Astyanax mexicanus: one gene and its partners. The protein of the gene in region 1 purifies or fractionates together with the protein of each later gene. This does not show direct contact. Links are inferred from orthologs where the notes say so. Each region holds a gene or a part of one and is shown in the gene's direction. Other genes may lie near its edges. The genes, in order: stub1, bag2, pparg and nadsyn1.

Evidence for each region.
Region 2: the proteins of stub1 (region 1) and bag2 purify together in Homo sapiens (affinity purification with mass spectrometry; 7 studies listed by BioGRID and IntAct, with this or other methods). This does not show direct contact. The link is inferred for Astyanax mexicanus from reciprocal best matches to the Homo sapiens genes STUB1 and BAG2.
Region 3: the proteins of stub1 (region 1) and pparg purify together in Homo sapiens (affinity purification with western blotting; 3 studies listed by BioGRID). This does not show direct contact. The link is inferred for Astyanax mexicanus from reciprocal best matches to the Homo sapiens genes STUB1 and PPARG.
Region 4: the proteins of stub1 (region 1) and nadsyn1 purify together in Homo sapiens (co-immunoprecipitation; 3 studies listed by BioGRID and IntAct, with this or other methods). This does not show direct contact. The link is inferred for Astyanax mexicanus from reciprocal best matches to the Homo sapiens genes STUB1 and NADSYN1.

Annotation. Positions count from the first base shown.
Region 1 is NC_064413.1:56,075,567-56,083,445, reverse strand, and holds the start of stub1 (E3 ubiquitin-protein ligase CHIP), read left to right. Parts: upstream 1-4,864; 5' UTR 4,865-5,199; intron 5,200-6,555; 5' UTR 6,556-6,672; coding exon 6,673-6,792; intron 6,793-7,879. UniProt on the Homo sapiens protein: E3 ubiquitin-protein ligase which targets misfolded chaperone substrates towards proteasomal degradation.
Region 2 is NC_064414.1:16,371,602-16,379,552, forward strand, and holds the start of bag2 (BAG family molecular chaperone regulator 2), read left to right. Parts: upstream 1-4,930; 5' UTR 4,931-5,123; coding exon 5,124-5,248; intron 5,249-7,951. Other genes in the region: E3 SUMO-protein ligase ZNF451, read left to right, coding at 1-500, 870-1,022, 1,678-1,718. UniProt on the Homo sapiens protein: Co-chaperone for HSP70 and HSC70 chaperone proteins. Acts as a nucleotide-exchange factor (NEF) promoting the release of ADP from the HSP70 and HSC70 proteins thereby triggering client/substrate protein release.
Region 3 is NC_064431.1:12,904,201-12,911,683, reverse strand, and holds the start of pparg (peroxisome proliferator-activated receptor gamma), read left to right. Parts: upstream 1-4,462; 5' UTR 4,463-4,684; coding exon 4,685-4,694; intron 4,695-7,483. UniProt on the Homo sapiens protein: Nuclear receptor that binds peroxisome proliferators such as hypolipidemic drugs and fatty acids.
Region 4 is NC_064423.1:34,232,237-34,239,202, reverse strand, and holds the start of nadsyn1 (glutamine-dependent NAD(+) synthetase), read left to right. Parts: upstream 1-3,963; 5' UTR 3,964-4,029; coding exon 4,030-4,114; intron 4,115-4,259; coding exon 4,260-4,320; intron 4,321-6,444; coding exon 6,445-6,561; intron 6,562-6,672; coding exon 6,673-6,726; exon of another isoform or gene 6,727-6,737; intron 6,738-6,966. UniProt on the Homo sapiens protein: Catalyzes the final step of the nicotinamide adenine dinucleotide (NAD) de novo synthesis pathway, the ATP-dependent amidation of deamido-NAD using L-glutamine as a nitrogen source.

The DNA of each region.
Region 1 (7,879 bases):
AGGCCGTGTGAAGCGTGATCTCCAGCCCTCTCTCAGAGAGCTGCTCTACCTTCCTGCAGGTTTACACTCCAGCCCAAATCTAACACTCCCATTCAGCCAATCAGCGGCTTCGGATGGAGCTGATTGGTTGGGTCAAGTGGGATTGGGATTAGTGGGGTTGGATTTTAAGCCCGAGGAAAGTACGTAGCTCTCCAGGAGAGGCTGATATTTGATTGTACAGTGATTTAGATCGGATTTGCATGTCTGAACACCACAAATTTGTATCTGCCATGGGTGCTGTGGTGATTAGTGATTAGACTCAGATGTATCTGAACAAATCTGATTTATAATCAGATTTCAAACCACCTCCAAATAGGATTCAGATCTGATGAACAAACTAATTAGAATATATTTCATGTGGTTTCAGGTTGACCATCTTACAAAACATCAATCTGGATTAGTCTTCATATAGCAACAATCCGTTTTTATGTGATTTCTTAATGTCCAGATTGTCAAAAATAAATCGGGATACTAAGTACATATGCCAAAATCCAATTTGGCTGCACATAATATCAAAATTAAACCTGGATACAATCTAAACGCAGCAAAAATCCATTTTCATGAGATTTCTGGATATCCACACTATCAAAAATCAATCTGGATTAGGTTTCATGTTTCATTTTCATTTTTTTTGTGATATCTGGATGTTTAGATTGTCAAACATGAAATGAGACTCTGTGTACCCATGCTAAAATCCTATTTCATGTGGTTTCTGGCTGCACAAAATATTTTTAAAAAAATCTGGATGCAATCTAGATGCAGCAAAAATCCAATTTCATGAGATATCTGGATATACAGACCATCAAATATCAATCTGGATTAGTCTTCATATATCAACAATCCGTTTTCATGTGATTTATTAATGTCCAGGTTGTCACAAATCAATCAGGATACTAGATAACTATGCTAAAATCCTATTTCATGTATTTTCTGTATGTCCAGACTATATCAAACATTAATCTGGATTGAGTCTAGATCTGGTAAAAATCTGATTTGGGCTGGGTCTGAACACTTTGGGCTTGGAGATCACCACTCTACACTGAGCACTGAACTGCAGAACTGTAGGTAAAGGGAATTAAGAGTGCTGAGCTAGCCGTCGTTCGGTCGCATTACAGTCTTTATAGTGTTTAGTATTTGGGGGTAAACGGCTGCATTTACAGAATTCGCCACGTTTTCAGCCAATTATTCTGTTTACTATGTTCATTTCTTTTATTTTAGTTTTGTTCCCCCTTTTTATGTTGATCTGTTTAGACGGTGGAGCTCTTTACCGTGTACCTGTACTGTTTCGTAGAGTGTGTGAGTGCGAGTGTGTAAGAGAGTGTGTGTGAGGTGGCTCAGGCTTTATTTAAAGCTGCTCTGAGGTCAGTTTGACAGCCCGTGAATGTGTGTGTGGGTGTATGAGTGTGTGTGTGTGTGAGTGTGTAAATAAACGTAGCTGCACGTTCTCCTCCCTAAACAGACAGGAAGAAGTCCTGCTGTCTCCTCCAGTAGCAGAAGACCAGGCTAGAGATCAGTAACGCCGAGTGAGTGAGTGATTCATGGCCGAGTCCAGTTCTCTGATGGTTTATTCTTTCAGGTCTCAGATGTTCCTGTTCTTTTATAATGCAGTTATGATTCATGTTGTCCTAATCTAACTCATTAAATGGATTTTATGAACTTGAACCCGTCTGTCTCTGCATGTCCGGTTACGACCCATCCTGTAAAATACCATATTGAATCGATACGAGATGTTATTTGTTTTGTATTTCCATAAATGTCCAAAACACACATCCTGATTTTAAAGTTGAAAAAGGCTAAAAATGGGAGGGGTGGTTTGAGAGGGGCACTATAGGTGATGTATGGGTTTAGATGCGGAGCAGGAAGGAGAGCTGATTGGGCTGAGTAGTGTGCCTCTGATATGTATTATTGATTATTGACTGATTTGCATATTGTGATGTGTTTGTGTACCAAAGTACACAGAAACATCATCCTGGCCTATAGCACAGCTGAACCTGAAGGGGAGCTGCAGAGGCAGAAACTACCACAATAAAAGCATTTTTTTTAAAGGTTAGAAACTTTCTAAATTTTTTAAGCAAGACTAACACGTTTTATTACTTCAAACGAGCTGCAAAGACCCACTTTATATTTTGAGGGAAGAAACTCCCAACTAATCAAAACGTCTAGGGTTTAAGGAGGCAACAACATAAACGTCAGTTTTCAGTAAATATGTATTAAAATCAAGACAAATCACTTAAATACACAAAAAGAAAATTTAACAACAACTTCAGGGTGAGCTTAATGCCACGATATCCAACAAAACAAATCTTAACCCAGCCCCCAGCTAACTTACCTGGAACCACAACGAAATAAAATAAAATAAAAAAAAGACAGAAAATAACTTAAGTTTAAGTAAGGCTTTTACAAACAGACCACCTGCTTGAATCATCCAAAAGGCAGCCAATCCACAGGCCTATGTGAGGTCAGCTGACTTTCCCCTCCAGATCACCTGAGTGCGTGGGAGCTTCACCTGAAAAACTGAAATAAAAAAATTAATTCAGCGTACATTTCAGCTATTGTGATGATAATTTATTTGAATAATACACAGTAATATTACCCAATGTAAATATTACATATTGCTATTTAAAGTAATAGTCTGTTTTAATACAAAATAGTTATAAAAAACGACTTTTCTATTTAAGCTTAAAGTAAACGTTGTGTGATGATAGATCTTTTAAAGGAGTAAACATCAAACAGTATTAAAATATATTTAAAAAAAGTGAATATGCTATATTTAATAGCATATATGTAACACTAGAGAACACTAAATAATGATTTAAAATCTGTAAATATATACAGAAATTAGACTCAATAAATTAAAAACAATATTTGCCTTTTTTTGTGTCTGTGTTGAATGCCTATTAAATTGTCTCTTTTACTGGTATATCGCTGAACAGTAATTGACGTGATTTGTTTTGCATTTCCAATAAATGTGAAAAAAACATATAAAGGATCATTTATTTAATTTAACAGCAGATTTTTAGCTGATATAAATATTGAATATGAAAATTTAAACAACAAATCATACTAATGCATTAACTCTTGATAAATAAAAAGAAAATGTTTGTAGCGCTTTCTGTTTAATTTGTGTGAAAATATATTTATTTTTGGGGAATACAGTGATAAGTGGTCATTATACAAATTAGATTATTAGTGTGGTTTAACTGTTTAAATGACCCGACTTACATTTTTTTTTAGCTTACAAGACAGACAGCAGACAAATATGGTTTAATTTATTTAGCAATTAACAGTCATCCCTCTCTACTGCTCTGGGTTACCGCTGCAGAAACGAATAAAATAAAATAAAGCATAATAAAATAAAGTGGTCGTATTTTAATGTCTGAAAGGAGGCACCTCCTAACAGGAGCTGTGCTGCCAGGGGAAAGCGATGGGTCAGCAGAGTGGAGTCCAGAGAGGAGAAAGCCCTGGATCAGCTGGATGAGCTCAGCAGAACACGCCCAGCTCACACTACACTCAGCTTTCACACCAGCACTATTTGTTCTGGTTAAAACAGACTCTGATTGGTTTGTACTCTTAGTGCGGTTTAATTGAGCAGGTGCGAAAACAATAATCACACAGTAATTCTCACTTGTGGTGAAAACGTGATCTGGTCTCGATCCGACTCAGATATCAAATATACTTCTTTTATTTGAGCTAAACTGCTGATAAGGTGCAGTTTAATCTGATATAATTACCACAGCTATGAACAAATGCTGCTTCATGCTGTTTACGCTCTAAGAGCGTGGTCTGTGCTGCGTTTACTGCTCACAGTTGTGTGACTCTGTTTACTATGTGTACATATGCGCTGCACGTCCCATTGAAAACACTGTGTTTAAAAGAGCTGCAGCAAATTTTCTGTGTTCTGTGTTAAATCAGCTTCACACTGCACTGATTTACAGATATACACACTGGAACTTCTCACTATATTTACTTTTTTACTCCCACACAAGACAGTGCTAGGCATTGACTACTGCTTAAAGTGTACTTTAATTTACATTATACTTTGTAAAGTGTATTAAAAATTATGTTAAAAAAAAAAACTTGAATCTAATTAAGTTCACAGATGTTATACAAAAAGCACTCAAATGCACAAACTCCTAATTTTATGTTGTATTTAAATATAGCTTAATTACAATTGAAATATACAATCCTAATGCGTGGCCACAAGTTATTGGGAATGAGATAATTAAGGTGTGGGAACAACATAATTAAGTTGTAGCCAGAGAATAATAAAGCTTGCTTTTCTGTAAATTAATGCACATGAGCGAATAGCTTTCCCACATTCCCTTGAACCCTCTGTGAGCTGATGTAACAGAACTGAGTCGCTGTGCTTTAAGTTGTGGCCACAGCTTAGGAACTAATTCCTATGCCTTAATAATAGTCATAGCCACTCATAATTATTTTTTTTTACATGACGTCACATAAGGGGCTACGTAGAAATAAACTTAAGTTGCCATAAGTTTTGGCCACACCTTAGGATCTCATTCCTATGCCTTAATAAGTCGTGGCCATGCATTATTAAATATTTTTACATGGTGTCATCTTAGGGGTTCCGTTTTAGTATGTATTTAAGTAAGTATTGATTTTAATGCTAAAAGTACGTGTTTTTCTATGTTAATTATACTTTTAATAAATATACTTAAATACACTTTTTTATTACAGGGGAAGAAGGCTTGTCCTGCCTAGCAACAGTATCTACCGAGAATCCAGCTGAACCGACTCTCTGAATCAGGAGTCAGTCTGAACTGAACAGCTGTAAACTGCGTGTTCATTAACTGAATCGATTCAGTGCGCTGACGGGACTCGGTTCTCCGGGTACATGTCCGCGGCTGTACGTCACGGTGGAAAACAAGCCGAGCTTTAGCTTTAGCGGCTCCGCAGCGGCGCGAGGATGAGCGGCTCCCTGTAGCCGCGGAGAGAAAGACCGCAGTTCTGGGTTTATTATTATAAAGAGCAGAAACCGGAGATGAACCCGCGAGTCGCTTAAACCGCGGGGCGCACGGAGCGAGCAGCCCGCCTGCCGGACAGAGCTGCTAGGCTAAGCTAAGCTAACGGCGGAGTCTGCGCGGCGCTGTGACCGGGGGAGGAGCGTGGGCGCCGGGCAGAGCGCTGAGTTTACCACCGGTAGGTCCCGACAGCAGCCGGAACCGGAGCAGGCCTATTCCATCAAATAACAGCGAGTTTCAGCTTCTTACAGCGGATAAAAGCTTATTAACTCCACTATTAGCGCGTTCGTGTATAAATTAATTCAATATTTATCTGTTTTTAGTCATTTTTAAGCGTTTTGTGTCATTAGAGCCCTGTTTTTGCTCTCTCTTTCCTGATGAGCAGCCCTAATCTAGGGCTGCAGCTAACGATTATTCTGCTAGTCGATTAATCGACTAACTAGTCGATTATTTAACAGAGTAGTCGAATAGTCAGCTATTATTTCTGCCATCTCTTTCTTCCATCTTTGCTATAGGTTGTATCTCTTTCTCTATCTTCCTCCACTTCAAAACGATATAAACAGCAGAACATGGGATTTAAATGCCAAGAAGCCTTGGATTTCACTTTAAGTAAACCTGTAGAAGCTATCCGCTCCCTGTGCCATGTGTGTGGTTACATGATTGGAAGAGCATATTGTAATGTGACGCTTCCACATAATACATTATTGCTGCCTTCACGTCCTCCTTGGAAAACTCTTTTGTTTTAGGTTGGATGTCGTAATTACTCGACATGCATTCAAGTGTATTTTGGTCGGGTGGAAATGGACGCCATTAGGAAAATCTTTTGTTTATACTTTTGGTTTATGATTCTAAAAAAAAAAAAAAAACCTGCAGGTTTATTTTGCCCTAATCCAGGAGTATAAAGAGTGATAAAGACACGCATTAGTTAAGTGATGGTTTTATCCCATTAGAACTATGAATCATACTAGACTTTTGATTTATTAGTTAGCTAATCACAACATGCAAGTGTTCAAGTGTGCATCAATTTATTTAATTTATTTATCAATTTAAATAACAGTAAAATTATTATTAATTTTTTGACCTCTTGTTACTGACACGCCCCCAACTGGGAAACTCTGTGCTAATCTAAAAATCCGAGTTTCCCACTTTTAAATACAGTTTGTTCAGAGTTTGTGGTGGCCTTAATGTGCTCTCCTCTCATAAATATGATATTTCCAACACCATTTGAAGGCAGCATAATTCCTTTTCCGTGTGTTTATTGCAATTTAATCACTCTGTGATAGGACTGGAGCGAGAGTACTGTAATAATAAAGCGCACTGTAATATGCTCTAATCGATGCATGGTTCTGAAGTTTATGTATATGAATATAAACCAGTGATAATGATCCCCTTTCCCAGATGTTCATATATTGCCACCCTTGGCCGTTTAATTTTTTTTTACTGATTGAGTTATTGTTCATCCAGAGAAAACTAGTTGAGTTGTTTTAGAGTTGTATTTGAGTCTGGATCCTGTGTTCACTTTTTGGATTTGCAGCTCGAGGGCAGAGGCATCTCTCCAGGTGACCCCGGGAGCGCCGGTGCCCCAGCCGAAGAGACGGGGAACAGGATTGGGAAGCAGGGGGGAGCGGCCACCGCAGAGCCTGTGGAGAAGATGCAGGCCGGCAGCCCGGAGAAGAGCTCCTCCTCAGCGCAGGAGCTGAAGGAGCAGGGCAACCGCCTGTTCCTCTGCCGCAAGTACCAGGAGGCCGCGGCCTGCTACAGCAAAGCCATCGTAAGTGTGGAGGAGCCAGAGAGTGGGACTGGGAACTGGGGGAATATCGTTAATCTTTTTAATTTAAATATCAATACTCAATACTCTGATAGGAGTACTTTTAGGTAATTGATGAGGATTGTATGCAAGTATGAATAAGTAAAGATTATTTATACTGAATGTTTATTTATACTCACTTTTTTAGCACTTTATTATTTTAGCTGAGTGCTTTATGGAAGTAAATTCATTATTAGAATAGCACACAAAGTATTTAGTCAGCCACTGATTATTGTGCGAGTTCTCCAACTTACAAAGATGAGAGAGGTACGTAATTTTCATCATAGGTAAATAAATTCAGTAAATTATGGTGGAAAATATTATTTGGTCAGTAACAAAAGGTTTGCACTCACTATAGCTAGAGTTTTGGCCCATTCCTCCATGCAGATTCCCTCTAGAGGAGGCAGTAATAACACAGAGTTTCAACCTTGAAATGCTTCTTATAAAGCCACTTCTTTGTTGCCCGAGTGTTGTGTTTGTGGTCATTGTCATGCTGGAAGACCCGGCCATGTTCCATCTTCAAGGCTCTCACTGATGGAAGGAGGTTTTGGCTTAAAATCTCATGATACATGTCTTCATTCATTAATTCTTACCATGATATTTTCCCAATCCTCTGCTGGATCATCCACATGCTCTATGGTGAACTTCAGTCGGGCCTGGATATGTACTGGTTTATGCAGGGAGACATGTTTGGCACTGCAGGATTTGAGTCCCTCTCTGTGTTTTACTGAAGTTTGTCTTTGTTACTTTGGTCCCCAGCTTTCTGCAGGTCATTCATCTGGTCCCTCTGTGTAGTTCTGGGATTTTTACTCCTTGTTCTCATGATTGTTTTGATTCCACAGGATGAGATCTTGCATGGGGCTCCTGATCGAGGAGGATTATCAATGGTCTCCTATGTCTTTCATTTTCCAGTTGATTTATTCACACAGACCAACCAATAAATTGTTTACCTCTTTTAATTTTTTTTATTTTTTATTTTTTTTTTACTAAAATTACTTAAAGTGCTAACCAGAAACAAGCAAAGGTACAAGTTTAGGTACTGACACAATGC
Region 2 (7,951 bases), on another chromosome or scaffold:
GCAGGAGTTTCAGGAGCATTATGTTAGTCTGCACAGCAAGGACTACTACTGCTTGAACAAGACGAATGGAACGGATGTGATTGAAGACAGTTCCACCGATGTGCCTTCTTCAAGCAAAAGTCCTCCTCAGCTGTGCCCCTGCATGGGTTACCAAAAACCCAAAGAAGAGGAGAAGTCCACCTTTACGAGGTGCATGAAGCAGCTAGCCAGCGAAAGCAAATGCAGCTATGTCTGTCACCAATGCTCGACAACAGTGGGCTCCTATGCAGAGATGAAAACACACGTGTACCTAAAACACGAGGCTCTGGGCAGAAGCTTTGATGTTGTCTGCATGTCCTGTTCCGAGAGCCACCGCGATGTTCCCAGGTTCCACACACATTACCACAACCATCACTGCCTACTGGAACCCTGTGTGTCCTTAAGAAACAACGGCACAGGCGAGGAGGGAGTCCCTGTCACCAACATTTTGAATGCAGAAGAAATCTCAGCAGACAAGAATGGTAAGACTTTGACTTGATTGTCTGTCTGCAAAAACACCTTTTCATAATGACTTTCTGTGGCTCACCCTTCTTGTGGAGGGTTTTGTTGATCGTCTTCATGATTACTTTAATGTCAGCAGTGTTCACTCATGATTTTTCATGATTTCATGATTGCATAAGCTGAATTAGACTGAGGTACTTTTGAAATGTTCTAATAGTTTAAGATACTGGATTTCTGATTTTTATTCAATGTAATCCATACTTAAAATATAAAAGGGCATTTGATATATATTTAAATGAAGTTTGATCACATTTTAGAGAAATGTTTTCTGACGTGTCTAGAAAGACACAGTTGTTGAGTTATTCTGAAGTTGTCCTTGCTTTTTCTAGCTGTGGAGTTTCAGCAGGTGAAGAGTGTTGTTCCTTCGAGCATCAATGATAAAGAATCTGTGGAAGAGTCTAAAGATGACTTTGAAGAGGAGATGAAGCTTGCTTTGGCTTTGAGTGCTGAGGAAGCAAAGAAACCAAACGAATTTGATCGAGGTGGGTCAGGCTTTCTGTACATGTTTTAGAATTACCCAAGTTTTGTTTTTCTAATTATTTTTAATGTTTTATATTTATTTTTTATTTTGCTAGCTTTACATGCGTGAAAAGTGCCACCAATATGGTATGTTAATTCAGTTTGGTAACTCAGTGAGTTGTTGTGGGAAAATGGTGTAACGAGGGGTGATGAGCACTGTGAGGTGTAGCATGCACAGACACTGTACAGTGTTGAGGAGAACTGAGCTGCTCAGTTAATTTAACACATTTGAACCACTACTTAAAACTGGGCCTGGGCTCCTATTGGTTAAAGGAGAGTTTCAAGAGTAAAATCAAATGTACATCATTACAGGCAGTTTCATCACATTGACTCAAATCAGCAGTTAGGAGGCAATTGTTTAGTCACTGTTTCACTGATCAAGAAATCAGACCTTTTTAATAATCTTTCTCTGCACAGTGTGATTTCATAGGGGTGAATGTGTTTTTATCAGGGCTAGGTAAATGTTGTAGTGTCTTGAAAACCTGCACAGGTTCTTACTACACATATTTGTAAATGTAAGTCATTAGTAATTCCAGTGTAATCACCTTTCAGGTAATGATAATTCTGAATAAATAAATGAGTAAATTAGCTAGCTAACTTATTTTCTGTGTTTTACAGAGATGGAAGAAGCTCTGAAAAGAAGCCTGCAGGACTTTTGATTGCTAAAACCTGCAAAATAGTTCAAACAGTGTTTGACCTGTATGTTTGTTTTTTATGTTGTTAATGTTCTCTGAAGTTTAAATAAAGAACTAACTGACTAAACTGGTTATTTGTCGTCTTCTGATTTTTATTATTATTATTTTAACTGAAATTGATGAGATGAGTGAGTTTAGTTCAGCTGTTAGTTCACCCTAATAGACCACTGCAGCTGTGTGATCATTTTGTAGTTGGCGTCATGTTTATTGCCATATTTGTGGTTCCATGTCTTAAGCTGCATTTGTCAATAACAAAAATAAATGGGCTTTTCAAAAACTCATCTCTATAAATAAATCTGTTCAGAACCCTGTACGTTTTGTTCTGTGTACATTCTGCTCCTAAACCCCGCTGAATCCTCTGAATTATGAGATCAATTAAGAGTCCTAATAACAACAATGCTAGATTTTAACGTGGCTTAATGTACTAAAACAAGGAAAAACTTCTCTCAATCATTCACTACATAAAAAACAATCAGAATATTTATAAGATAAACAAACCACTATAACCCACATTACTGAGCCTGGCTGGGAGTAAACTGGCTGGTTGATTGGCTCTTGAACAACACAGCAAATGTATTTTGTATTTTGCGTTTGCTGGTGTAGCCGGTGTGTTAGTATATCCAGGGAAGTTGACCAGTATGATTACTGCATCTCTAATTAAACATGCTAATAGCACAGTAACTACACTGGTGCTAGAACCTGGTTCTGAAATAAATACTGTGCTGCTTGTTTTAGTGATTTCCTGCTGTAACACTCTCATTCCCTGGTGTTGTGCCAAAGTCCCCTCTTGTTCTGTGTTGCTGTGACATAAGTTCAGTTCAGAGGATTGACTGATGTTCAGGAGCAGAATGTACACAGAATAAAATTTACAGAGTTCTGAACATATTAATTTACCACAGAATGTGACAGAGGAGAGTTTTGGAAAAGCCCATTTTTGGGCCATATAGAAATTTATCTTAGACCAAGAACCCCAAATGTAATCTTTAATAATAATGTCAGATAATAAACTCTGTTGGTAAAGGGTGGTACTAATTTCTGAGGATAAAACTGTGGTGATAATTTCAGATATTAATCTTTGATGATGAACTCTGATAAACCAACCAACTCCTTCAACCAACCAAAACGGGCACATGTCACTCCGCTGCTCATTGAGCTCCACTGGCTACCAGTTGATGCTCGCATCAAATTCAAAGCTCTTACAATCGCCTACAAGGTGATGACAGTACAGGCTCCTTCCTACCCGCACTCACTCCTGAAGGCTTACGCTACCTCCCGGCCGCTGCGCTCCTCCAATGAACGTCGCCTCGCTTTGCCAAACATTCACACAAAGCAATCCAGACTGTTCTCATACAGAGTTCCCCAATGGTGGAACAAACTACCTTCTACTACCAGATCAGGAGAATCTCTTGCTATCTTTAAGAAACTCCTGAAGACAGAGCTCTTCAAAGAGCACTTACTCTCTTAACACCTCTAACACACTAACTACTTCTAACCTCATCTCCTTCTTCCTCTTCTCTACTCCTCTATCCCATTATTTCCCTCTGACCTCCTTAAGGCCCTATCTATAGATGCTTTATTTTTAACTTCTATTATTTTTGTACTTAACCTCTTCTATTATTTGCAACTCAATATTGTAAGTCACTTTGGACAAAAGCGTCTGCCAAATGTTATGTAATGTAATGTAATGTAATGTAATAATCTGAGGTCATGATCTTTGTTAATAATCTGTGGTGATAATCATACATCCATAGGGTAAAATTCATTAATTTTATCTAAGCATAATTTCTTAACAGAATTATACAAATTATGCACCTGATTGTATCGGTATTAATACAAAAATACACAAAACAATTACACATTACAGTTTTATATGTATTTTGTTAATATTCTATTTCTATGTTAATTATGATCATTGTTATATTATAATAGTTATTATTTGTGGAGAGTGCATTTCTCCTGAAAGTTTTGTGAGTGTTAAATAGAGGCAGAGTTTAATAAAGGCAATGTTAAATAAAGTCAGAGTTAAATAGAGGCAGTGTTTAATAAAGGCAGATTCAAAATTAAATAAAGGCAGCGTTAAATAGAGGCAGAGTTAAGCAAAGTCAGTGTTAAATAAAGTCAGCATTAAGTAGAGGCAGTTTAATAAAGGCATGGTTAAAGGCAGAGTTAAATAAAGGCAGCATTAAAAAGAGGCAGAGTTAAAGAAAGGCAGCATTAAAAAGCATTATTAAAATATTAGTTAAATAGAGGCAGTGTTAAATAAAAGGCAGAGTTAAAGGCCATTTTAAATAGAGGCAATGTTAAATAATGCAGAGTTCAATAGAGACAGGGTTAAATAGAGGCAGAGTTAAATAAAGTCAGTGTTGAATAAAGGCAGTGTTAAATCAAAACAGATTTAAATTGAGGCAGTTTTAAATAAAAGCAGAGTTAAATAAAGGCAGCATAAAATAGAGGCAGAGTTAAATAGGGGCAATGTTAAATAAAGGCAGTGTTAAATAAAAGCAAATTTAAACAGAGGCAGTTTAACATAAAGGCAGAGTTAAACAGAAGCAATGTTAAATAAAGGCATAGTTAAAATAAAGGCGCGGATAAAAGCAGATTTAAATAGAGGCAGTTTTAAATAGAGACAGGGTTTAGTAGAGGCGGCGTTAAATAAAAGCAGCTTTAAATAAAGGCAGAGTTCAATAGAGGCAGTTTTTAATAAAGGCAGTCTTAAATAAAGGCAAAGTTCAATAGAGGCCATTGTAAAAAGAGGCAGTGTTAAATAAAGGCAGTAGTAAATAGAGGCAGAGTTGAACAAAGGTAGTGGTAAATAGAGGCAATGTTAGTGTTAACATTGCAAGGCAGTAATAAAATGACGCTGGGTTAAATAGAGGCAGTGTTAAAATCAGTGGCAGAGTTAAATAAAGGCAAAGTTTTAAATAGACAGTTTTAAATAGAGGCAGAGTTAAATAAAGTGAGTGGCAGAGGTAAATAGAGGCAATGTTTAAATAAAGGCAATTTCAAATAAAGGCAGATTTAAATTGAGGCAATTTTAAATAGAGGCAGAGTTAAATAGAGGCAGATTTAAGTTTGAATAAATAAATACATTAAGAGATGGAGCTAAAGCGGCTAATAATTCAGTTTATTCTGCTCTGATCCTCCCCCGCCGCTCAGCGCCCTTCCGTTTCCCCCCGAGGGCGGGAATACCCCGGGAGATCCAGCCCATGTTTGGAGATGTTAGGAGATGTTTGTCCGTCAGAGAAACCGCTAGAAGGAGCCGGAGAGAGGAGACCCCTCAGACCCGCCCGTGTAGAGCCGAGTCTCCGCACTGAGACCCCCTCAGACCCGCCCGTGTAGAGCCGAGTCTCCGCACTGAGAGCCGCGGCCATGGCTCAGGCCAAGATCAGCGCAAAGATCAACGAAGCCGCGAGAAGCGGGAAGTTCAGCCGCACTGTCTCCATGGCGGACCGCTCTCTGCGCCTCCTGGAGAGTCTGGACGATCTGGAAACGAGGTGGGTTTACTTTCGCACCGTAATACTAATAATTCCCATAATACTCTAATAATCTTAATACTCTTACTCTCTCAATACTCCTCTAATACCCATAATACTAAAAAAAAACTCACGTCTCAATACTCCTCTAATACCCATAATACTTTAATACTCTCACACTTTTAATACTCTAATAATCCTAATAGTCTCACACCTTAATACTCATCTAATACCCCTAATAATTTAATACTCACACCTTAATACTACTCTAATACTCTCACACTCTTAATACCTATATAATACTCCTCTAATACCCATAATACTTTAATACTCTCACACCTTAATACTCATCTAATACTCATACTACTAATACTCTTACACTCTCAATACTCCTCTAATACACCTCTAATACTCACAATACCCTAATACTCTTACACTCTTAATACTCCTTTAATACCCATAATACTGTAATACTCATAATAGTCTTACACCCTTAATATTTATAATGCCCATACTACTCTAATACTCCATACTCTCACACTCTTACTACTCTCCTAATACTCGTCTAATACCCATAATACTTTAACACACTTTGAATACTCGTCTAATACCCATAATACTTTAATACTCACACCTTAGTACTCCTCTATTACCCATAATACCTAATATTTTCACACTCTTAATACTCATAATACCCATACCTGTCAAGTTTTAGATTTAAAAATAAGGGATATTTTCCTCTGTCCGCTTAAAGCCGTCCCACCAGCCCAACGAAGGTTCAGTATCTCTTACATTTTAAAACAGGTTTACAAAAAATCTAAAATAACCACATGTGAACCACTTACACACTACAATTAGATTATCAGAATCTGAACATGTTGTGGACATGTTGTGGATATGTCATTCTTTTAATACAGCCAAATTAAAAACCCTTTTCTATATATTTTTTTTATTTAAGATTTCATGTCTTTTTTGTAATAAATGCACTCTTTTATATGATATATTTTTTATTTATTTAATGGATTTAAAATTGAACAAAGAGTGCACAAATTCTGCAAAATGACTGTTGGTGACCTAAAAATGGTATTATGAGCTTTTACTAAAAGGACATGGACCAGATATATTCCATCAGTAAAAATTAGTCCTAAGGGGCCTACACAATAATTTTTAATTAATACTTCTTCCTTTTGATCACTCCACCCCTGATCAGTTCAGTTAATGTCGGTCCTCTCCACATTTCTAGTTAAACTGAGTCACAAGCTGTAATTTTTTTTTATTTTAAAAGGTTTAATCTCTGTGTTTTATTTCGGAGTATTTTTAAGCAGCTATCAGAAAAATCTCATCACAGTTTCCATGATTAGACTACCGTTACCTTTCTTTTAGAAAAATCGCTGCATGTATGTTTTAACATCAGCAGCTCCAACTAGCTGCCTGAACTCACAGCGAGGAGGGCGGGGCTTCCCCACACTGACCCTCCTTGGAAGCTGATTGGCTGTTTCTCCTGAAAGGCGGGACTTTCTCCTTGAACCGGCTCCACGATTGGTTAAGAGACACAGAGCGGTCAGTGCCCTGTATCCTCAATAATATATATTTTTTTATTTTAATAAAATACGGGAAATTTACGGGAAAATACTAATACGGGAGGACGGCGGGAAAGAGGAGTAAAATACGGTAGTTTCCCGGCCAAAACGGGAGACTTGACAGGTATGATAATACCTATACTACTCTAATACCCTCCCACTCTTAATACTCCTCTATTAATCTTACTACTCTAACACTCTTACACTTTTAATACTCTTAATGCTCCTTTAAATATACTCATATTACTCCAATACTCCCATTCCCTTAATACTCCTCTAAAAGCCATAATACTTAAAAAATCTCACACCGCTGATGATAACAGTAGTAGAAGTGTGTGTGTGTGTGTATGTGTGTGTGTGTAAACTCTGTGTAGTAAAGTTTATAACCGGGTCAGATGAACTAAAGCAGTGGAGTTGTGTGGAGTTGTTGACTCTGGCAGAAATGCAGCTGCTGCTCAGTGAGGCTATAAATACGAGCTGCACCAGCAGATCCGTCTTCTTGCTTTAGGATGGATTTTTATTTCTAATAATCATTTTATGAAAATGTTTTTGGTTCTCTTGTTCTCAGTAGAAAAGAATACACTGATTAACCAAATGAAACATTATATGTGTAAATGTAAATATGTAATACATACACAAATAGAGCAAAAGTTTACTGGGGAAAACTCTTTATCTGAAAAGAGGCACTAGTACAGAGGTCACTAACAGGCAACTCAAATGTTGTCCAATGCGGACCCAAACCTTTTAAAATGATTTCATTGTATACGTGCTTTGCGGCGCAGTAAACTCACAGACCAATCATGTGTGGTGTAAGATCACCAAATGCTCTCCTTTGCGGTAAGGAAATAAAGAAATAAATAAACACACTGCTCCTCACGCGGGATCGAACCCGTGTTGTCAGGGTCGCGCAATAGCTCCAGCTATTGAATTGGGACGCGACCGTGAAAAAACGCCTTTATAAGAAGAGGGAGCCCAAGAATGAGCGTAAAAACGAGAACAGGCGGAAACTAATGTGTCACGCCGAACGCAACAGAGAAAGACAGGCAGGTAATATACACAAAATCTGCATTTTTTTATTATTATTATTATAGATATTTTTAATTATAGTTCAAGCAACCTTACAGGATATAGCACTGAATCATAA
Region 3 (7,483 bases), on another chromosome or scaffold:
TGGAGCTGCATTGCTGTGAGGATTTGATTGCATTTAGCAACATGAACTTCGTGAGCTCAGGCAACTCCCCAAATCATTTCATCTAAAAGTATTGAACCATCATCATTCCAGTCCTATTCTATTGGCAATATTTCTCTCCTACAGGGACTAGATAAGCTGTGTGTGTGTGTGTCTCAGCAGTAATAGGCGCAACTAAAAGTAGCTAAGTCCATGCTGCACTCATTCTTTTTAAGACATAGCGTATGTCTTAGAATGTGTTAATTACACAGTTTTTTATTTTTTTATTTTGTGATGTCATGAATATATATAAAAAATATATAAATTTGCATTTACATGTGCACCAATCAGCCATAACATTAAGATCATCAGCCTAATATTGTGTATTTTACACCTGGAAGCATCCTGTGGTATCTCCTTTTGTTAAGTTGTGAAGTGGGCGGAACCTTCATGAGCATCAGTGTCCCTTTGGTGCTCATGATCCTGACTTAAGTTATTTCGGTAGGTTCTGATCAGTTCATGCTGAGGTGTTTTGTCGTCTAGAGCATCAAAGTTTGGTTTCTGTTAAAGTGTCTCAGTTTCTGACGCTTGTCCATTTTTCCCAAACAACAAATCAAATTTAAGAACTGACTGTTCACTCTCTACTTAATAATGAAAAGGTTTGGGCACCCATGATCATTTTTAATGATTTTCCTTAATAAATCATTGGTTGTTTTAATCAGCAATTTGAGCAGTTTACCTGCTCCCCACAGTAAAATTTAGTGGTGGTTCATCATGCTGTGGGGCTGTGTGGTCAGTGCAGGTACTGGGAATCTTGTTCAAGTTAAGGGTAGCATGGTTTCTAGTAGGGTTGTGCCATATTGTATCATACCTGATAATATCACCCAAAAATTTGAATACCGTGAACGATATTATATCCTGAAATATCGTGTCATATAAACCCACCCCTAATTATCACAACATAGTACTACTTTTTTGGCGTTTTTAGCAAAAGAAAAATTCACACTGTTCTCATTTCCCATTATATATCTACTAGAGACAGATTATATAACTTTAATCCTTGATATAAAGAGATATTTGGAGTGCATTACTAGTATAATGACATTCTGAGTCATTGACTTCTTTTACAAATCTGATAAAATTATTATTTTTTTTAATATCTCAGTTAGCCATATCATGTTGCATGCAATAATACAATTCTAAATAATTTTTCTAATTCAGTGTTTTGTCATATCGCCAAAAGTATCGTTATCATGAAAATACCATGAAATATCGTGATATTATTTTAGAGCCATATCTCCCACCCATAGATTCCAGTCAATATCAGCAGATTCTTGAGAACAATGTTCAAGAATCAGTCACAAAAACCCTAAACAGTTTAGTTCTCGATTTCCAAAAATACAGTATTATTTTTTTATTATTAGTTTATATATAAAGATTAGTGGTTAATTTAGTGTTGTGTTTAAACACCACCCACTAGATATCAGTGTTATAGTGTGATGTTAGATGTCTTTGTTCTGATTGGATTAAAACTATTATTCTACACAGATTTTTTTCCCATTATGTTTAAGTTCTGTCTCAATACTACCTGTCTCAATATTTTGTTTGGATGATTTACTTTACCAGAAATAATTGAGATAAAATATTTTATTGTCATTTCAAGACACTGCATTTAATGCCACTGATAATAGTGATAATGTTGAAAAGCTTATTGAACTTTACATTGTTGAGAATATTCATACATTGGAATTGAAATAAAAATGTCTGGTCATTTTAAAGATCTTAAATAAAACAAAACAAAACAAAAAAAAATAGAAACATGTCAGCACATTTACATAAATGGTTTCTCCTTGCTAAGAAAAACTAAAATAATTATGACAATATTGATGTCAGTAAAAATGATTGACTAGCTGTGGATATTGGCTCTATAGGCTTTTTAAATGTAACAGTAGTGCAGTATTGAACATTTTTCCTCCATCAATCATCTCAATCATCTCTAAAAACAGCAGATGTTCAGAAGGAAAGTCTCGGGATTTCCCCGCACACCATGTTTCCCAAATCACTCAGAACAAATCAGGGTTCACGCGTGCCAAGCCTGACAAATCTATGCCAGACTACCCAGCATGTGGTCTACCAGTCTCGTAGTGTAATTCCTGTATCAAAGTGACGAACACCTGCCCAGCAAATTCAGTAGTAGCCGTGTGGGCGGCGAGACAAGCCGGTGTCTGGGCTCCGTCTCATAGCGAGAGGGCACGAGTGACACTCAGTGGGGGAGATTTTGCTGGCAGAGCGGAGGTCAGGAAGTCACATTTTCTCTGTATGCAGAATCTTGAGGTCACGTCCTTTTCCATTGAAAATGTCGCACCTACAGTGTCGCGACCAAATCCTGAACCTGAGCCACACTCTCCACTTTTCAGAGAAACACTGTTTCAGAAAGTGCTCAAAGAGACCAACCAGCAGCACTGCAGTGAAGAGTTTAGAGCACAGAGATGAAGCTCTTTCCTCTTTTCCACTCGTTTGCAATTACAGCAGATACAACTATCCAATCACGTTTCACTACACTACCAAGTTCATTTCACACCAGATATCAGTCTATAGACCTTAATAAGCTTGATAGGCCAAATATTTGGCAGGCAAAATTATTCTGCCAGAAATGGCAAAAAAAAAATTTTAGGCATTTTAGGCTCTCTTCCACATCATTGAAAATACCAATTTATTTAAAGTTTTCTTATGCAGTGGTGGAAAACCCACACTCCTCCACATAAACTGATCACAGAAAACATCCTGTTTACACATGTATTAAATGAGGACAAGATTCATCTCTGGTCACCCCCAAAAATCGCCTCATTGATCTTTAATGTCAGGTGTAAACAGGATCTATGAGTAATTTAATGCTTCTTTAGTACCATGATTATACCTATAAAATGTATTTTTGCTTTGCTTTGTCGTAATTATATTTTTTCAATTATTAAACAAACTTAAATATCAGAAAAGATGATTTGAGTAAATACTTTTTAATTGTTAATATGATTTATTAAAGGAAAGAAAGTATCCAATCCAATCTAGCCCTGTGTGAAAAAGTGTTTGCCCCCTAAACTTACTACCTAACTCTAATCAAGCTTTACCGATAACTGGCAACAAGTCTTTCACATTTCTATCGAGGAATTGTGGCTCACTTTCTTTGCGGAATTGTTTTAATTTAGCTTGATTGGAGGTTTTCGACCATGAACCACAGCATCTCAATCAGACTTTGACTAGGCCACTCCAAAAGCTTCATTTTTTTTTTCCAAGCCATTCAGAGGTGGACTTGTTGTTTGTGTGCTTTGATCATTGTCCTGCTACTGAACCCAAGTACGTCTGAGCTTGAAGTCTGGAAAAGATGGCAGGATATTCTTCTTCAGGATTGTCTGGTAAACAGCAGAATTCCTGGTTCCATCTATTACAGCACGTTATCCAAACCCTGAAGCAGCAAAGCAGCCCCAGACCATCACACTACCACCATCATGTTTTATGTTCAGTATAATGTTTTTTTTATATATATATATCATGTGTTAGTTATATGCCAGATGTAATTTGATAATTTGAAAAAAGTAAGTTTGACAAACATGCAAAAACAAGAAAAATCTGTAAGGGGGCAAATACTTTTTGACGCCACTGTAGATACGGCCAAAATGCAATTGTAAACACACAAAGACACATTTTAAACAGATACAAATCCGATCACTCAAACGACTTCAGGAGGTGGTCTGAGAACAGTTAAAACAGACTATATTCGATCAATCAAACCACTTCAAGACATGGTCTTAGATGCATTTAATCCAATACAAATTCAATCACTCTGACCACTTCAGAAGTTGGTCTGAGATGCAGATATAACAGATACACAATGGATTACTTAAAACATTTCAGTAGGTGGTCTGAGAGACATTTAACACATTTTTGCATATTCCGTCCCACACAGCAGTTGGAGTCCAGCTTGGTAACACATATGACTAGCAAATATAAACATGTGGTAAAAATATAATCAGGGTGAAGATCAGATACTATCGCTATGAACAAGCTCATTGCAGATCCAGTTATAGTTTCTTTAAAAAAAATTGTAGAGGGGTCTTTAAATATTCAAATTCACAAAATTCTATTGCAGAAATTGTACATTATGGAACAACAAATAGTTATTTTGTGTCATTGCCTGAAGAACCTTTTGTAGTACGTTTATTTTTTTGGACTGCAGGGAGGTTGTGCAATGTTTTTACCCCCTATGCTACACCTAGTCTGATACTGTTTACCCTCCGTTTCACCATTTACGGGAATTTTCTGCAGACAGGCGTTAGAGTTGAGGAAAGATCTGCTGTAAGAACACCCTGGAGGTAAACAGTCTGAAAGTTTAGCACTGTACATTCCTCTGGTCTGAGGAAGAGGAGTGTGGTATGCAGGTTGTGCTGAATTATCTGGTCAGAATCCCACAGCGAGAGGAGCAGTCAGTCGCCTGTTTGAGGGCTTATCAGCCCGCCTCGCTGAGATGAATGTGGAGATGTCGTTGAATGTGGTCAGGCAGGTTCGGCTGGTGTCCTCTACTGATGATCCCGGCTCTGCTGCAGACTGTAGCTACGTGAACGGTAGCACCTCTCAGCTGCCAGACCTGTGATTTCCCTCAGCCTCAGGACTATGTGACTGTGACGGGTGGTAAATGGAGGTTGGTAAGTGGATTTTCTGGGGTTTTTCTTGTGTATATTCCTTGCTCTCATTTCTTGAATATTAGTTGTCCACAAAGAACAGTGTTTCCTGGTGTGTTCAGCGCATTTTTAGAACTTTGCAATCCCTGTTTTAATGCAGATTGATTTTTTACCTGTTGAGTTTCAATGGTAAATAGGAAGCTGATGTGGATCATGCATACATTTTATTTTATTTTATTGGCAGTGCTGCTGGACAATAATGCCCTCAAACCTTTCAGGTGTTTAAACCACTTTTGGACCAAACCAGTTTCAGTCTGTGCTTTTACCAGTTATGTGGATCATCAGGATGATCAGCCTGAAGTATTGATGATTAATGGTGCTTTCACACCTGCCTTGTTTGGTCGGAATTGTCAGAATTTCAGTTTGGGTCTGAATCAAACCAGCAGGTGTGAACAGGACTGCGAACCACACAAGCAGCTGTTTGATTTGGAGAGTTTGGTCCAACCAAAAGAGGTGGTCTCAGTCTAGATCTACTGAAATAAGGTCCGGTTCATCTGCAGTGTGAAAACACTTCTCTAGATGGTTTAGACCTTCTGACTTTCTAACTTATTACAGGAAGTTTATGCAGTCTTTAAACAAACCAGAAGAAAAAAGACCCTTGATGTGCAGGATGCAGCATTTAGGACACAAACGCTTAAACTGGAAAATCATTAATTTACTGTAACAGTAGGTTAACCCTTATTTATAAACAGAAATAAAAGGAATCTGAGAAGAATATTTTCAGATTCTGACAGAGAGCTAGAATCGGCCACACCAGGCAAAGCAACTCGGCATATTCATATCTAACATTCTGCAAACCAATAAATATTAAGTATAGAGAGACTCCACCCATGTAGCTGATGATGACAGGATGTAGTAAAGTTCTTTATTCTGCTCACTAAACTGCAGTGTGAAACCGAAACTAACTGGAGCAAACCTACACAACATAACAAAGACATGAACTCTGGTGCAGACTCTGTGATGAAGATAATGATGAAGTTACTAGGAACAAAACATTTTTTTAAATGTACACTAGTTTGGCTAATATTTATTGAGCTACACATACAGAAGTAGTGTATAATGCATATGCAACAGGCGTGGAGTTGTAGAGGTTCCTAATGATGTCCTGCGAATGATGTCCATCCCATGCAGCCTCAATACTCTTATGCAGTTCCTGCAGATATAACAGTAGGGGTATATGAATGTTGACAGTGCATCCAATAGCATCCCTCACAGTTTCAATCAGAGATGAATGAGTATTGTACTGTTGCACACAGAAAAGATACGGGGTTCAGAAAAGATAGGGCCACTAGTTGCAGGTCATCATTTAAGTAAAATGCCTGTAATGAAGACCAAAGATGCTCTAGCATTATACAAAATGACACCCCACAATGTGGTCAACGTGGTGAGGAAGTACTTTTCGTACAAGACAATTATTTGAAAATAAATGGTGGATAATGATGCAAGTGCAGCAGTGATGTCAATGACGTGTTGTATATTGGCTTAGCAGTGCTTCACACTTTTAAAACAGGTTAGTATGTTAAAAAGGTTGTGTACTAATCTGCCAAACCAGCACTACTGAGTTTAGTACTCAGTGCTAAATGTATAATAATATATTATATAATAATATATACCTGATAGTATTAGTGTGAAGTACACATTTGGGACGTAGCCCAGATTTCCACAAATGTTTGACATTTAAAGGCTTTAAATTCTGACAGCATTATATAAATACTCCATCACTCCATTGAACTTCTCCTTTGTACTTGATCTGCACTTTTAATACAAGAGGTTTTTGGTGTATCCGTGTGAAGCTGTGTAACACTGTAAGTGATGAAACTTCAAATATATGTAAAATCATTGTTTTCCACACTTCATCTTGGCCTGACCACCGCTGTTGTTAGGAAATATCAGTGGAAAACATCATGTTCTTGTTGCAATCCCGTCCCTGTGGAAGGGATTTCACATCATCACTCTTTCCTTCACATTCTCTCCATCTAACTGAATCAGAGCTCCTCTCACAGACCCTACACTCTACCCTACACAAAAAACGGGTTCCATTGAGTACGGAATAAAGGGTTCTTTTAAAATAGAAGAATAAATGAACTCTACATTAAACACTATATAGGTCCTACTCTGTATATAAGTCCACCTTCCAAGGTTTTCCAAATGGGCCAAACAAAGCACCATTTAACCAAACAAAACACCATTTAATTTTACCTTCTACAGAAGATTTTCTACCAATCTAAAGAACATTAAGCCAAACAAAGCACTATTTGAAAAACACATGGTACATTGATTTTTCATTCTTCTAAATAGAACCACCTAGAAAGTTTTTTTATTTAGTTTTATTAGTTTTTATTTAGTGGTTCTTTAAGGTTGTCTTGTTTCCAAATACAACCATCTACAGGAGGTTTTTAATCAGTCCAAAGAACCCATAACCAACCAAAGTGCTATTTCAAGAGCATTCAATGGTTCTTTAAGGGATCATGGGTCTATTCACAATTATTAAAGAAGTAGAAGTATTGAAGCATGTAGGTCAAGGTCAAGGTCCCATATAATGTAGAAACACCTATAAAAGGGTTTTCTTCAATGTGAAAAAAACAAGCAAAGAGCTTTTTGAGCTTATAATGGGTGTTTATGGAACTATTTTAAAAGGACAGAGCATCTACGCAGGTCTACTGTATGTAAAGCGGGAGAAACGTCTGTGTCCGAGCACAAAGCTAAATGTAAAGCTTTCACCTGTACATTTGTGTACATTGCAAGATCAGACT
Region 4 (6,966 bases), on another chromosome or scaffold:
TTCACAAAATTTTAATTTGACCTAAAACATTTGATTTCCTAATGCCTCAGAGTCCTGAAAGTACATAAGGAGACCCATATCAAACAAATGAGGTAAAATATTACACATTAGTAATTTATTAATTTATTGAGGAAAATCAAAATTAGCAAATTTTCCCATCGCTAACCAAAGGTATCAAAAGTATTTACATTCATTACTCAGGTGAAAGTATAGATACTAGGGTTTAAAATACTTCTGTAGAAGTTAAAGTATTAATTCGAGCTTTTTATTCAAGTAAAGTTTAAAAAGTACTGTTTTTAAAAAACTACTTATAAAAGTAGGAGGAAAAATAAGGCGGAAAATGCCATTAAGGACAAAAGCTTAGGCTGCACCACAGGGTTCTATAGCGCACTCTGAAAATGTAATTTTGAGCATCTCCAGGATCCAAGTGTCACTTTGGGCATCTACAAATGTGACTTTGGGCATCTTCAAGTGTCCTTTTGGGCATCTCCAAGTGTCACTTTGGGCATCTCCAAATGTGACTTTGGGCATCTCCAAATGTGACTTTGGGCATCTCCAAGTGTGACTTTAGGCATCTTCAAGTGTCCTTTTGGGCATCTCCAAGTGTCACTTTGGGCATCTCCAAATGTGACTTTGGGCATCTTCAAGTGTTCTTTTGGGCATCTCCAAGTGTCACTCTGGGCATCTCCAAATGTCACTTTGGGCGTCTCCAAGTGTCTTTTTGGGCATCTCCAAATGTGACTTTAGGCATCTTCAAGTGTCCTTTTGGGCATCTCCAAGTGTCACTTTGGGCATCTCCAAATGTGACTTTAGGCATCTTCAAGTGTCCTTTTGGGCATCTCCAAGTGTCACTTTGGGCATCTCCAAATGTGACTTTGGGCATCTTCAAGTGTTCTTTTGGGCATCTCCAAGTGTCACTCTGGGCATCTCCAAATGTCACTTTGGGCGTCTCCAAGTGTCTTTTTGGGCATCTCCAAGTGTCTTTTTGGGCATCTCCAAGTGTCACTCTGGGCATCTCCAAATGTCACTTTGGGCGTCTCCAAGTGTCCTTTTGGGCATCTCCAAGTGTCTTTTTGGGCATCTCCAAGTGTCACTTCGGGCATCTCCAAGTGTCCTTTTGGAAATCTCCAAGTGTTCTTTTGGGCATCCCCAAGTTTCCTTTTGAGCATCTCCAAGTGTCCTTTTGAGTGACTTTGGGCATCTCCAAGTGTCCTTTTGACATCTCCAAATATCCTTTTGGGCATCTCCAAGTGTCCTTTTGGGCACCTCCAAGTGTCACTTCGAACATCTCCAAGTGTCCTTTTGGGCATCTCCAAGTGTCCTTTTGGGCATCTCCAAGTGTCACTTTGAGTATCTCCAAGTGTTACTTTGGGCATCTCCAAGTGTCCTTTTGGGCATCTCCAATTGTCCTTTTGGGCATCTCCAAGTGTCACTTTGAGTATCTCCAAGTGTCACTTTGGGCATCTCCAAGTGTCCTTTTGGGCATCTCCAAGTGTCATTTTGGGCATCTCTAAGTGTCCTTTTGGGCATCACCAAGTGTCCTTTTGGGCATCTCCAAGGGTCCTTTTGAGAATCTGCAAGTGTCCTTTTAGGCATCTCCACGCCGTGCGTAAAATAGCGCACCGCGCGTAAAAACGCGTGCCGTGCGTAAAAGTGCGCGCTGTGCGTAAAACCGCATTCCGTGCGTAAAAACACGCGTCATGCGCAAAAGCTCATTCTGTGCGTAAAAGCGCGCGCCCTCTATAAAAACGCCTGAATTCCCCACAGCTATGGAAAAAAACTAAACGCATAACAACTTCTCAGGTTTTGCTTATTTTATTTCATATTTAAATATTTATATAGTTTTTTTTAATATCTATATTATTTATATTAATCTGAATAATAAGCTCTGTCATTTGCAACAATCCAGGGTAATGTGGGGGCCTTTTTATCACACACAACTTTCCACTAACACTGCTCTTAGTTTTAATAATTATAAAAAACACATTAGTCGATAGTTTAAAATGCGCTCATTACCTCACAGGGTCCTTAATCTGTAAACACACTCCCGTAGATCACACACAGCACCCTTCCCTACTGTCTAGATATATTAATAGATTTAACAGATACCTTTGTAAACCTCTGTTATCTGTCTGTAGTGCTAATTTTATTATTTTGCACTGGTTGTTAAAGAGTAAAGTAATCTAGATTTCTGCTTTAGTTACAAATAAAACGTGTTCAGATCATCATCAGACTAACAATTACAGGCAATCATAACGTAACTATCACACTAATAACCCGTGATAAATAAAGAAGGGTGGGACTTTTATTTTGGCGTGTATGTAAAACTGTGCAGAGTATAACGGAAGGACAGTAGTAGAGACAGAGCAGAGCTGCTTTATGGAGAGCATGGCCACTCCCGATCTCCCCCGTTATATCAGTAAATGACTGCTGACCGATAGAGGGAGCCCGCGAGTTCAGAATGAAAAGGGGTTAATGGAGCTAAAAGGCTAAAATCTCAAATTAAAAATAATAACCAGAGGTGGAAAAGTTACAGAAAAATTGTAATTAAGTAAAAGTACCTTTACTTTCCAAAAATTCTACTCAAGTAAAAGTAAAAGTACCCATCTAAAAATCTACTTGAGTAAAAGTAAAATTTAAAAAGTACTTTGAGTAAAAGCTACATAGTTTCTTTTAATTATTTGATGTAAAAAAGTACAACAAATCATAAATTAAAATGTTTTTATAAACTATTATTCCACATAATAATTTTATTTAGACCTTTCAGGCAGTATTTGCTCAGACCGGGGTGGTCTGAGCAAATACTGCCTGAAAGGTCTAAATAAAATAAAACATTTTTGAACAAGTTGCATAGGTTTCTAAGATCTTTGATTCTATGGTATGGAAGTTTTGAAAGCTGACAGCTCTGTCTGGTGGGGCACATTTTGCATTGCATGAGGACGTTATTGCCTTGTTATTCCACAGGTCAGCATCTTTTTTTTTTTATTATTCAAACAATTGTTTTTTTTCCCAGCATTTTATTTTTTGCTCAGTAACGGGGAGTTTTCCAATGTAGTGAAGTAAATTACTTGTGTCAAAATGTACTTGAGTAAAAGTAAAATTACCTATTTTAAAACTACTTTAAAAATTACAAATTACTCATAAAATCTACTCAATTACAGTAACTTGAGTAAATGTAATTCATACTTTACACCTCTGATAATAACTAACTACTTGTTCTAGATATTTTTTTTACAAAATGTAATGACGTATTTTACTAAAAGAAGACAAACTAACTTGTATTTATTCCTTTTCTACAGTAAACAGGATTTACGCATTAAAGGTGATAGTGTTACTGCTACTGTGTGCTGACTGACTGGTGAGCTAGAGCACGTTTAAAGACTAAAATATTGTAAAAAAAACAACAACAACAAAAAAAACAATAAAATAAATAACCTCAATATTCTTCAAATATATGAGCAATTCTTTAGTTCTTATGATTACGATTTTTAGTTCTTAAATAACAACTGTTTTACACAAACGATTGTTTTCTTTACATTTAGTTTCATTTTTTATTAACAGTAAGGTGTCTTATATTTTTTTTACTAATTGCATGTAAAAAATTTCAATTGTTAATTCTGTTAATATTACCGTGGCTGCTGGTGGTGGCGATAATAGGAATAGCCTAAGTAATACATAAATAACATAATTTTAATTTACAACTTTTATGCTTTGGCATAATTTTGCAAAGTTCATTTGCATTGTTCATGTGCTCGTTCCCTGCTGGGAAATGGGATTACGATTTTAGTTAGTTTAGTAAATAACATTTAATTGTTATTTTTTTGTTTTTTATAAATAGTAAAAACTTTATAAATAGTATATATAGTATAAACTCATTAATTTTGGTCTCTCTCAGGAGCGCCCCTGGTGGTGGGACACTCTGGAATCAGTCTCGAGTGGGTGATCTGGTGTGTAGAGGATGTGTGGTATTGATAAAGTTACAGTGTATCTGAGCGCTGGGTTCTCTGTAGAGCTCTTTAAACAGGTAGAATGGGTCGCAAGGTGACGTTAGCCACGTGCTCTCTGAATCAGTGGGCTCTGGATTTTGATGGGAATCTGAGGAGAATTCTGAACAGTGAGTTTTTGAAGCTGCAGTGAATCAGTGAATGAGTCAGTCTGTATTTCTGCAGCAGAACAGTGCATGCTGTGAACATGCAGTACAGTGCAGTACAGTAATTTACACTGACCTGATTAACTCTGACTTTACTCCTCATTAACAGGTATTGAAATAGCCAAAGCCAATGGAGCCAAATACAGACTGGGACCAGAACTGGAAATCTGGTAATTTACTTTATTACTTTACTGTCTGATAGAACTTTGATGTGAAGTGATTATCTACACTGCCTTTTTTCAAAAATAAAAAGTCTCCACCTGGATTTAAGTAAGTAAGTTAAGTTAAAAGATGTGGGGTTGATGCTGCAGTTGGTCTGCAGGTCTAGGTTCAGCAACAGTATGTGCTGAAAAATAAGGTCTGCTGTAGGGGTGGGCTATAAAATAATATCATTTGGAGATGCCCAAAGTGACACTTGGAGATACTCAAAGTGACACTTGGAGATGCCCAAAGTGACAATATCAATAATATGATACGGAACCCCAATTACTGAGATATTAAAAAAGAAAGAAAGAATTTTATCAGATTTGTAACAGTAGCCAATGATCTAGAATATCATGATACTAATAATGCACTCCAAATATCTCCATATATCCAGGATTAAAGTAAAATAAATGATACTGGACAGATATAATCTGTCTCTAGTAGATATATAATAGGAAATGAGAACAGTTTAAATTTTTCTTTTGCTAAAAGCAGCAAAAAAGTAGTACCCTGATGTTGAGCTGGACTATATGGCCAAAACAAAAATCGTATTTTTTTTTTCTTATCAATTTTTTTCCCCTACTAAAAATAAAACAAGTTTTTTACTATTTTGTTTTCATTAAATTTCCCTTTTGTGGTTAAAGTGCAACCAGAAACAAGCAAAAAACTATTGTAAACAGTGAGAACATCCAGTAACTTTTAGAAAGCTTTCTCCAACATAGTTTAGGTACTGACACAATGCACTCGGTGGTGGAAATTAAAATTCAGAGAAAAAAGATTTTCATAAAAAACATCATCCTTAACTGTAAATTTGAATTAATCATTATAATGAATATATCGTCCAGCTCCACCCTGACTATATTTACTTTCTTGCTCCCATGCCAGACAGCTCTGACCAATCAGAGGAGACGATGTGCTCGCGTGGTTTATTGGTGCACATTCTGGTGTATTTATGTTTATGCTTGTGTAAAACTAAACTACACAGAGGGAGAAAACGCACAAACACTTACTTACTGATCTGTTACATACATACATACTGTAGCTACCCAGTGTAAGCATACTGTTTAACATTAGTTACAGAAGAACAGAAGAACAGTTATGGAGTGATTAAATATATATGGATAATGGAATATATAAGCAAAGAAAATCTCAATAGTGACCCTGTGTTTAAAGATAAGACATATAATAATCCTTTATTAATCACACAGTGGGGAAAGTTACAAAAAGTAACAGTGGTACAGAGAAAAGAATAGAAGAACAGAAGAAGTGTTGGGAAATAAATACAGAAGAATATGAAAATACTTAAAATAAATAAATCTATATAAATCTAAGATTAAAGGAAACATGGTTCCCCAGTATGCATGTGTTATGGTAGGCAGTGGCCAGTGATTTTGCACATGGATTGTTAGTAATTAAATAGATAGTATTAAATAAATATATTGCACATATTGTGCTACATGGTGAATTTAGCTGGAGATCATGTAATTAAATTTAAACTTGTTGCTATGTTGCAAATAAATACTTTATAAATTACTTATAGAAGGGCTGCAATGATTAGTCGATATAATTGATAATGTTGATTTTAATTTTCATTTAAATTTGTTGACTACAAATTTTATTGTCGGCTAATCATTAATTTGTAACAGTACTGCATTACACAAAGTGCTGGGGACAGAAGCGCAATGGGAGATAAATGGGGGTAAATGGCTCACTCACACAGTTTACACTCAATTTAGTCTGTGTCTCCAAAAGTGCCCAAACACAACAGATCACATATTTACTCACTAAATAATCAGCACTTTCCATGTTTAAACAATATCTAGACATTTAAATGCTTTTTAAATCTCATGTTCAGCTGTTTCTGTCGTTTTTAGAGATGGAAGACATGCCAGAAATAATCACTGACTAATCGATTAATCAAAAAAATAATCATCAAATTAGTCGACTATCAAAATAATCATTAGTTGCAGCCCTAATTTATAGCTTCTACCACCAAATGTTATTAAAATGCCTTTTTTATTATTGTTTCATTTTATTTATATATATTCATATTTTTGTGTTGTGTATATTTTTTGTGTTTTGAACATTAGTGGATATGGATGTGCTGATCACTTCTATGAATCAGACACTCTTCTCCACTGCTTCCAAGTCCTCAAAGAGCTGCTGGAGTCTCCGCTGACCCAGGACATTATCTGCGATGTTGGCATGTGAGTGTTAAAGCTGCTGTATAATATGTATAATGTTCAGTTTAGGAGTGATCACTGTCATTACTGATTCTGATAATGAGTAATAAATATATTTCTTTACTCTTTTTACAGGCCTGTTATGCATCACAACGTTCGCTATAACTGCAGAGTCCTTTTTCTCAACAAGTCAGTCTTTGGTATTGACAATCAAATGAGTATAAATCCTCTGTATTAGTTTACAGTATGTCTAAAATGTTATGAATCCCACTCATTCAAAGTTTGTTTCTCTCTCTGCTTCACATTGCTGTGAGGATTTGTTTGTATGTGGGCTCAACAGTTAGTGAGGTAATAGTGTAAGGCAGTGTCTGTGGTCCATGGCACTCAGCACATATGTTATTGAGTTAAGTTCTGTCTGTTTTTTTATGC